2 linked regions of the Oryctolagus cuniculus genome follow. The protein of the gene in region 1 binds, or shares a complex with, the protein of each later gene. Links are inferred from orthologs where the notes say so. Each region holds a gene or a part of one and is shown in the gene's direction. Other genes may lie near its edges.

The links.
Region 2: the proteins of WDR59 (region 1) and SEC13 are in contact, whole or in part, in a cryo-EM structure (PDB 7UHY), measured with the Homo sapiens proteins. The link is inferred for Oryctolagus cuniculus from reciprocal best matches to the Homo sapiens genes WDR59 and SEC13. Residues at the interface, in NP_085058.3 of Homo sapiens: Ala525, Tyr526, Gly527, Asp531, Ala532, Asn533, Ile534, Pro535, Phe536, Pro537, Arg538, Thr539, Ser540, Gly541, Ala542, Arg543, Phe544, Cys545, Gly546, Ala547, Tyr549, Val551, Phe553, Thr554, Arg555, Met557, Ala644, Gly645, Lys646, Val647; in NP_899195.1 of Homo sapiens: Val4, Ile5, Asn6, Thr7, Val8, Asp9, Thr10, His12, Asp14, Met15, Ile16, His17, Asp18, Ala19, Gln20, Met21, Asp22, Tyr23, Tyr24, Gly25, Leu28, Val42, Pro59, Trp61, Gln62, His67, Pro68, Tyr79, Ser105, Asn107.

The regions. Positions count from the first base shown.
Region 1 is NC_091449.1:57,463,664-57,468,130, reverse strand, and holds the start of WDR59 (GATOR2 complex protein WDR59), read left to right. Parts: upstream 1-1,575; 5' UTR 1,576-1,684; coding exon 1,685-1,738; intron 1,739-4,467. UniProt on the Homo sapiens protein: As a component of the GATOR2 complex, functions as an activator of the amino acid-sensing branch of the mTORC1 signaling pathway. The GATOR2 complex indirectly activates mTORC1 through the inhibition of the GATOR1 subcomplex.
Region 2 is NC_091441.1:116,549,166-116,552,961, forward strand, and holds part of SEC13 (protein SEC13 homolog), read left to right. Parts: intron 1-557; coding exon 558-602; intron 603-1,740; coding exon 1,741-1,856; intron 1,857-2,119; exon of another isoform or gene 2,120-3,026; intron 3,027-3,109; exon of another isoform or gene 3,110-3,480; coding exon of another isoform or gene 3,481-3,512; coding exon 3,513-3,664; intron 3,665-3,796. UniProt on the Homo sapiens protein: Functions as a component of the nuclear pore complex (NPC) and the COPII coat. At the endoplasmic reticulum, SEC13 is involved in the biogenesis of COPII-coated vesicles.

The DNA.
Region 1 (4,467 bases):
CGGGACAGGATCCGGCGCCCCGACCGGGACTAGAACCGGGTGTGCCGGCGCCGCAAGGCGGAGGATTAGCCTAGTGAGCCACGGCGCCGGCCAAAGTCCACAAAATATTTCTATGTTGCCTGTATATGTAGGCAATTACTGTTAGAAATCAAAACAGGATTTGAAAAAATTCATTATCTCATTGAAAAATTAATTCATATGAATAAATTCTAAAATGAAAAATACTAAATATATCTTCCAAAACCAAAAAATGTTAGCGAGAGGAGTTGTAAATCTTGTCAACATTTGGCTTACTAGAAAACAGTCGGTTTCTCCCATCCACTTCTACGTTCAATTCGCTGCAATATTTATCACGTAGCCTCTGGAAAACTCCACTGCTACACTGGGGAAAGAAAGTGAAAATCATTTTTTAAAATTAATTAATTAATTTATTTTATTTTATTTTTATTTTTTAATTTTTGACAGGCAGAGTGGACAGTGAGAGAGAGAGAGACAGAGAAAAAGGTCTTCCTTTTTGCCGTTGGTTCACCCTCCAATGGCCGCCGCGGCCACTGCACCGCTCTGATCCGAAGCCAGGAGCCAGGTGCTTTTCCTGGTCTCCCATGGGGTGCAGGGCCCAAGCACCTGGGCCATCCTCCACTGCACTCCCTGGCCACAGCAGAGAGCTGGCCTGGAAGAAGGGCAACCGGGACAGAATCCGGCGCCCGGACCGGGACTAGAACCCGGTGTTCTGGCGCTGCAAGGTGGAGGATTAGCCTATTGAGCCGCGGCGCCGGCCGAAAATCATTTTTTAAAAAGATTTATTTTATGTATTTGAAAGACAGAGTTAAAGAAAGAGAGAGAGAGAAATCTTCCATCTGCTGGTTCACTCCCCAAATGGCTGTAAGGGCCAGAGCTGAGCCAGGAGCCAGGGGCCAGGAGCTTCCGCCAGGTCTCCCACGCAGGTGCAGGGGCCCAAGCACTTGGGCCATCTGCTGCAGCTTTCCCAGGTCATAGCAGAGCATAGCAGAGGGGCAGCCGGGACTGGAACTGGCGCCCACATGGGATGCCGGCGCTGCAGGCTGGGGCTTTAACACGCTGCGCCACAGCCCCGGCCCCGAAAATGATTTTTTAATGTGATTATGAAAACTGCTTCGTCTTCAGAGACCCTCAAGGAATCCCCGGACATTTGGGAGGCGCTACTGTATTGTAAGAAACAGTAAGTCCAGCATTCAGACTAAAGGGGAAGAAGAGGTTCCTTCGATTCGCATGAATGTTGGGCTTTGCCTGGTAGGCTGGGTCTGGGCGAAATGCCGGGGACACCAACAAGTGCCTCAAGCAAACGCTAACCTGCGCGCTCTTCCGGAGTCACTGACGCGCGGCGCGGCTCCACCTCAAACTACAACTCCCCGCAGAGCTCGCGGCGGGGGGCGTGTCCGCACCCGCGGAGCGCGAGGGTGGCTCAAGCTGATGACGGAAGTGAGAGGAGGCGTGCCTGTTTTGGGTGGGTGCGGTGCGCCAATTGGAGGAGATGGAGAGATGGGGCGGGGCTGTCGCTTGGGTCAGCCAATAATTGGCGGTCAGGCGAAAATGGGAGGGGGACGGGGCGTGGCAGGGCTGACTCACAGGCTGCGTGGGGCTCACGGAGCCTGGGGACGCGAGTCTGAGGGGTGCGAGGGCCCTGTCCTGAGGTCGTGCGAGGGGGATGGCGGCACGATGGAGCAGCGAGAACGTCGTGGTGGAGTTCCGCGACTCCCAGGTGAGCTGGGGTCCGAACGGAGCAGTCTGGGCATGCGCCCTCAGTGGTTCCCCTCCCCCACGCGGCCTCTCTGGTCCTAGGGGTTGCCGGGAGACCCCCGGCTCTGGCTGAGGAGTTGGACTACCCGGTTACCTGGAGCTGTCAGGCTCGGGCGGGCGGGAGGCGCTTGATGACAGTTGGGGTGGGCATGGACGGGGTGTCGAGGTTCCTTGTAGGGGGTACAGGGAATAGGGTTCGCCTTGGGGGGCTGAGGGAGGTGCCTCATGCCCAAGGTGGTGAGCGAGGGGGCGTCGAGCAAGTCGTGGAACTTCTGCGTGGACCTGACCCTTGGTTTTGGGGGTGGGGTGAGGTGGATTCCATGAAATGCTGCTCGCAAAGCGGCTGCTTCGACGCCTAAGCGGTTAAGTGGTTGCTGATGCTGTGATAGTGGACCCTGTACGTATTGCCTGGGTTCGAATCCTGGCGCAGGTAATAGGCTGTCATCGCTCTCTGCGTGCCAGTTTCCTCACCAGTGGAAGGAGTAATCCTGTCTCACGGGATTGGCGTGAGGATTTGGGGCGGTCATCCGTGTGTGTGTGTGTCTGTCTGTCTGTCTCTCACACACACACAGTGGTGGGCACATGTTACGCTTCGAAAAACGTGAGCCCTCACTGAGGAATTTTACCACTTTTCTGTGTCGTGACTTCTGTATGTTGGGCCTTGTGCTGAGCTGCTTATGTGTGGTTTCTTTTTGTGGTTCCTGGAAGAACCATGCAAGGAAGGTAGGTGTAAAGGGGGAAGCTGATGCCCATTTCATCCCCAGTGACTTGGCCAAGGCCTCCCGCGATGGGGCCATTGGTGGAAGGCACTGCCCCCAGAGCGTGTGTCAGCTCAGAACAGTACTTTGCCTAGTAGTGGGTATCTGCGCGGGGTCGTGCAGTTGTTTGACAGTAGACAGCATGTTCCCCCTTCCCCACTCCTGTGCCAGTGTCTTGGAGAGCCTGTTTATTCAGCTGTCTCCGTGTGCCAGACTTCTACTCACTCATTTATTCAACAAGGAGTTACTGAGATACTAACATTGTGCCGGGCCTTGTGTCCATACTCCAGTGATTTTTCTGGAGGGAAATCTGGATTGCTTTGCCATAAAGATGAATGAGTGGAGGAGCCTCCCACTAGTTTGCTCTGTGTGCCCTTGGATAAGTAGCACCTATCGAGGCTTTGAGCAGCAGCGTTTGGATGCAGGGATCCTAAAGCCGCTGGCACTGTCAGCATGGTGTCTCAGAGGCCCAGTCACCCAGGGGAGGTGCTAGACTCCTAGGGAAAAACCGTATCCCTGTCACCTTTCTCATTAATTGCTTCCACTGGGAGCTAGGACAGAACAGGATTGTGTGTTTGTCTCTGAGCCTGCTAATTTGGAAGCTACTAAACTGCAAACCCTTTAATTCTCACAGAAACCCAGGTAGTCTCACTCCTTTTTTTTTTTTTTTTTTTTTTTTTTGAAATAGAAACGTAATTGAAGAGACCTGCAGAGCAAGTGCTGACACTTATATTAGGATGCTATGAAGTAGCAGCAAATAATTAAACCTGAACAGCAGTTGTCATAGTAGGAGAACAAAGTGAATTGGGTAATTGAGCTGCCTGTGGGAGTTTCTATTTTTCTTTCTGCTTTCCTGATTAGTGGAAGGATGTGTCTTGGTGTGAATTAGCATGGTTTTGTGGTTCACTCTAGTGATCAATGGGAGGGGCAGGAACCAGTCTATTAACTTTTTAAAATTAATGTGGAAAGAAAAAGTGAAACTTCTTCACAGTACCTGTCTGAAAAGGCCAAAACAATAAACTTTTCAAAGCATCCCACATCTTGTCAAAATGATTTTAAAAAATTAAAGCTTTTAGATTTTTCAGAGTAAACCTGCTGTCTGTAGGTGAAACTGTTTTGGTTTATACAAGTGTTATTTGCTTTATAAAACAATGCCATGTGGTATTACTGTCACCAGTTAGTGGTGAAGGACATGTGGTACTTGACAGCAACTCTGCAGTGCTCACTTGCACGTGTACCCTTGAGGATCAGTGAGATGGCAGCTTGTGCAGTTGTGAGTCTGACTCGGCAGCGTGTACAGAAGTGCTGCGGCCGGGACTGGTGGTGAAGATGGGAACTGCAGACTCCGAAGTTGCTTGCTTGCCTGCCTGCTTTGGAAGGCAGAATTAGAGAGAGAGAGAGAGAGGTCTTCCATCTGCTGTTTCACTCCGCAGATGGCTACAATGGCTGGGGCTGGACCAGGCCAAAGCCAGGAGCCAGGATCTTCTTCTGGGTCTCCCACATGGGGGCAGCAACCCAAGTCCTTGGCCACCCTCCACTGTTTTCCCAGATACATCAGCAGGGAGCTGGATAGGAAGTAGAGCAAAATGAACTCAAACTGGCACCGACATGGGATGCCAGTGCTGCAGGCGGTGGCTTAACCCATTGCACCACCACAGTGGCCCCGGAAATAGCATTCTTTTTTTTTTTTTTTTTTTTTTAACAGGTAGAGTGGACAGTGAGAGAGAGAGACAGAGACAGAGAGAAAGTTCTTCCTCTTCCTTTTCCATTGGTTCACTCTCCATTGACCGCTGTGGCCAGCCCACCATGCTGATCCAAAGCCAGGAGCCAGGTGCTTCCTCCTGGTCTCCATGCGGGTGCAGGGCCCAAGCACCTGGGCTGTCCTCCACTGGACTCTCGGGCCATAGCAGAGAGCTGGACTGGAAGAGGAGCA
Region 2 (3,796 bases), on another chromosome or scaffold:
AGCATGCGCCAGCCAGCTGGGCATCTGAAATTGCAGCTGGACCTCAGGACAGGTAGGAGGGGGCCGGCCATGGCAGAGGTGGCCCAGCCCTCCCGGCTCTGCAGCCTTGGAGGCCGCAAGTGGCAGGCGAGGGAGCGGCCGCAGAGAAGCCCGGATGAAGTGCGCAGTCTGCAGGGTCAGCGCTTTGTTCATCAGCAACTGCGGGGCGCCCCGTGCTCTGTCACCCAGGAGGGCAGCGGTGGCTGGGCGGCCCCCAGCCCCGAGCCCCGTCTGGCCCCATCCGTGCTCTGAGACCCCTCCCCAGCCTGCTCTCTCCCCGTGCCACCCGGCCAGTCCCTCCTCAGCGGCTGAGCCCCGCCGGCTCCTGCGCACCCGGAAGCCCCCGCGGGAAGAGCTGACTGCCGTGTCAGGGTGACTTTTGTGCACGTTTCTCAAGGGCAAGGCCGCTCGTGTTGGCTCAAAGAAGGTCGTTGGAGCGATTGTCCTGGGCGAGGGGCGCAGACGCGGCGAGGGGCGCGGTGACGGCTGGGTAATGGACTGCCTGTCTTTGGTCGTAGGTGTCCGTCATCAACACCGTGGACACCTCGCACGAGGACATGATTGTGAGTACTCGCCGGCGGCCGCGGGCCCGTTTCTGTGAGAGGAAGCGCTTGAGTTCTTCGTCGCCCTCCCCGATGGGTGGTTCAGCGGCGGTGGCTGGTCCGCCTCCCGGCAGTGCCCTGTGAGCTGGCAGGGCCCTGGTCGTGCGGGCTCCCCTTTTCTGGGGACCGATGGTAGCTTCAGGCCCTCGGTCCTCCGGCTGCCGCTGGTCTCCCCTCTGTCTTCCTCCTGCCACTGCAGCCTGGCCCCACTGGCAAAGGCGGAGCCCGAGAGGACTGCTGTGGGACAGCAGAGCAGACAGGAGTCCTCATGCAGGGCGTGGCCCGAGGCAGGGCGCAGGAGAAGGCCCGGGGCTAAAGTCCACAGCAGGAGGAATACTCTGGCCCCGCCGTGCGGCAGCCTGGGAGCGAGACCTGGTCCTGGGTCCCTGGGCCACGGACAGCGTCTCCTGCCTGCGTTGCTGCCCTCACGGCCTGTCACCTGCCGCCGCTTTGGGTTGCTCAGGTCGCCTGAACTCCCTCAGGAGTGGTTCAGCTGTCGGCCACATGGTACCAGGGGCGGGGGTCTGAGGCTCCCTAGGCAGCGGCTTAGCTAGCAGGCCTCCATTTCTTCGGGGGGAGACCGCCGCTGTGCCCCGCTTGCACGGTGTGGTCTGAGGAGCAGGTGAGCAGAGCGGCAGTGAGGAACTTGCTCGCTGTGCGCCAGGCCCGTGCTAAGCGCTCGTCATCCAGCGGCTCCTTGAGCCTTCCCAGTGGCCTCTGCAGCAGGTGCCACTCGCGGTGCCGCAGATGAACTCAGAACCGTGGGCAGGGCCAGGCCTGGATCTGGGTGGTTTGTGGGCATCCGAGGGTGGTGCCAGTGTCTGAGTAACTGGCCCGCTCCTTGGGAAAAGGACAAGCGTGAGGGAACCCAGGGACAAAGACCCGTGCGGGACCCAGGGCCCAGATGGAGGAAGGAGCCCAAAGGGTCTGTGAGCCCAGCTGGCTGCGGCCTCGCAGAGCAGTGAGGAGGCCGCCTTGCCGGCTTCCCGCCTGAGGTGCCGGTCCCAAGTGGGTAGACCGTGATCCACGCTAGCCCCGCCCCTGTGTGCGCACTGCCCCGCCCCCGCAGGCCCCCAGAATTCCCCGTCTCCCTTTGCAGCACGACGCACAGATGGACTACTACGGCACCCGCCTGGCCACCTGCTCCTCCGACAGGTCCGTCAAGATCTTCGATGTGCGCAACGGAGGGCAGATCCTCGTCGCTGACCTCAGAGGGTGAGTGCCCAGGGGGCGGGCGCCGCCAGGGCACAGGCAGGGGAGGAAGTGAAAGCCCGGGTTCCAGGCACCCCGAAGTGTGCTCAGCAGTGAGGACGCCCGGCTGCCCCCAGCACACAACAGGTGGGCCAGGCAGCGGCTCTGCGGGGCTCTTCTCAGGAAAACCCGGGGCTGGCGAGGTGTGACCTCTCAGCCCTGGTGTGCCCCCTCAGGTGGGCCCCGCCTTCAGGGGCCACTGCCCCGCCTTGACAGGTGGAAGCTGTACTGCTGTGTGCAGGCGTAGCCAGGGCGACCGACGTGTCACTCGGGAGCGGCACTGCAGGGGCCGTGCAGGCGGCAACGTTGGGATGGCCATGGCTCTGCCTGTCGGCCTGCGCAGGGGTCCAGGGCCGTTCACACGCACCACGTCACTCCTCTCGGAAGCCCTGGCCCATGTTTGTGGTTGCCCCCCCCCCCCCCCCCCAGGGTGCTGCCTTGCACAGCACTGCAGGTTTCGGGAGTTTGTTTTTTTTTTAAGGTTATTTATTTGAAAGTCAAAATTGCACAGGCAGAGAGACAGAGAGAGAGACCTTCCATCCGCTGGTTCACTCCCCAGCTGGCCCGCAAGGGCTGGAGATGGGCCAGGCAGAAGCCAGCAGCCAGGAGCTTCTCCTGGTCTCCCTGTGAGAGTGCAGGGGCCCAAGCACTTGGGCCGTCCTCCACTGCCCTCCCAGGTACCATACCAGGGAGCTGGGTCAGAAGCGGAGCAGCCTGGCCTTGAACCAGTGCCCACGTGGGACGCCAGCGTTGCAGGCAGCAGCTTAACCCGCTGCGCCACAGTGCCGGCTCCCACATGAGTTTCTTATGCTCTGAGAATGTTAGGCGCTAGACGGTGACAAACTTCACACCCCCGTCCTTGACTGCCTCGGTCAGCGCTGCGTGGGACGGGAGTGAGCCGTCGTCCCCGGAGGGGAGCGCTGCTGGCTCGTGGTCAGTGGTTTTCCTTCTGCTCGTCCTCTCGGCTCTGTCCCTGAGCGAGCACGGACACTGAACCCCCAGCCTAGCTGTGAGGGAGCCTTCCGGACGCCTGCGTTCCAGGTAGAGGTAAAGCCACAGAGCGCCTGTGACCCTGGCCTGAGTCAGAGCCAGCAGGGGGCGTGACAGCAGGTGAAGGCCGTCGCGAACACCCAGGTAGACAGTGCCGCCTCGGCAAGGTGACGGGGAAGGCGGGCGAATGGTGGCTCCGCCTTGCGGTGCCCGTCGCGAACACCCAGGTGGACAGTGCCGCCTCGGCAAGGTGACGGGGAAGGCGGGCGAATGGTGGCTCCGCCTTGCGGTGCCCCTGAGCCCCAGGCGCACCTGCTGGGGGATTGACGCCCGTGCCGCAGTCAGCGGAGCTGCCCTGGCTGCAGATCTGGTGCAGGTGAGATCCCTGCCTGGCCGGCCACGGACACTTCCAGAGTCCTCACTCCGCGCAGGGCCGCGTGGCCTCGGGGTCCTGCCGTCCACAGGGCATCCCGAGGGCAGTGACGCTCCACGGCTCTCGCGTGGAAGTGCTCAGGCAGCCGTCGGCTCTCCCTGCCCAGGAAGTCACTCATCTCCGCCCAAGGAGACGCCCGGCCGGGGCACCTGGGTCGTTGACCACATGGCAGCAGCCTCTGTCCCCTCCCCTTGCAGGCACGAGGGTCCTGTGTGGCAGGTGGCCTGGGCCCACCCCATGTATGGCAACATCCTGGCATCTTGCTCCTACGACCGGAAAGTCATCATCTGGAAGGAGGAGGGCGGCACCTGGGAGAAGACCCACGAGCACTCGGGCCACGACTCCTCAGGTGACCGAGGGGGGGACCCTGGCCCCGGTTGAGGGCCGCTCAGGTCCCAGGAAGGACGGGCCACGACTCCTCAGGTGACCGAGGGGGTGGTGGGGGCGACCCTGGCCGCGGCTGGGGGCCGCTCACGTCCCT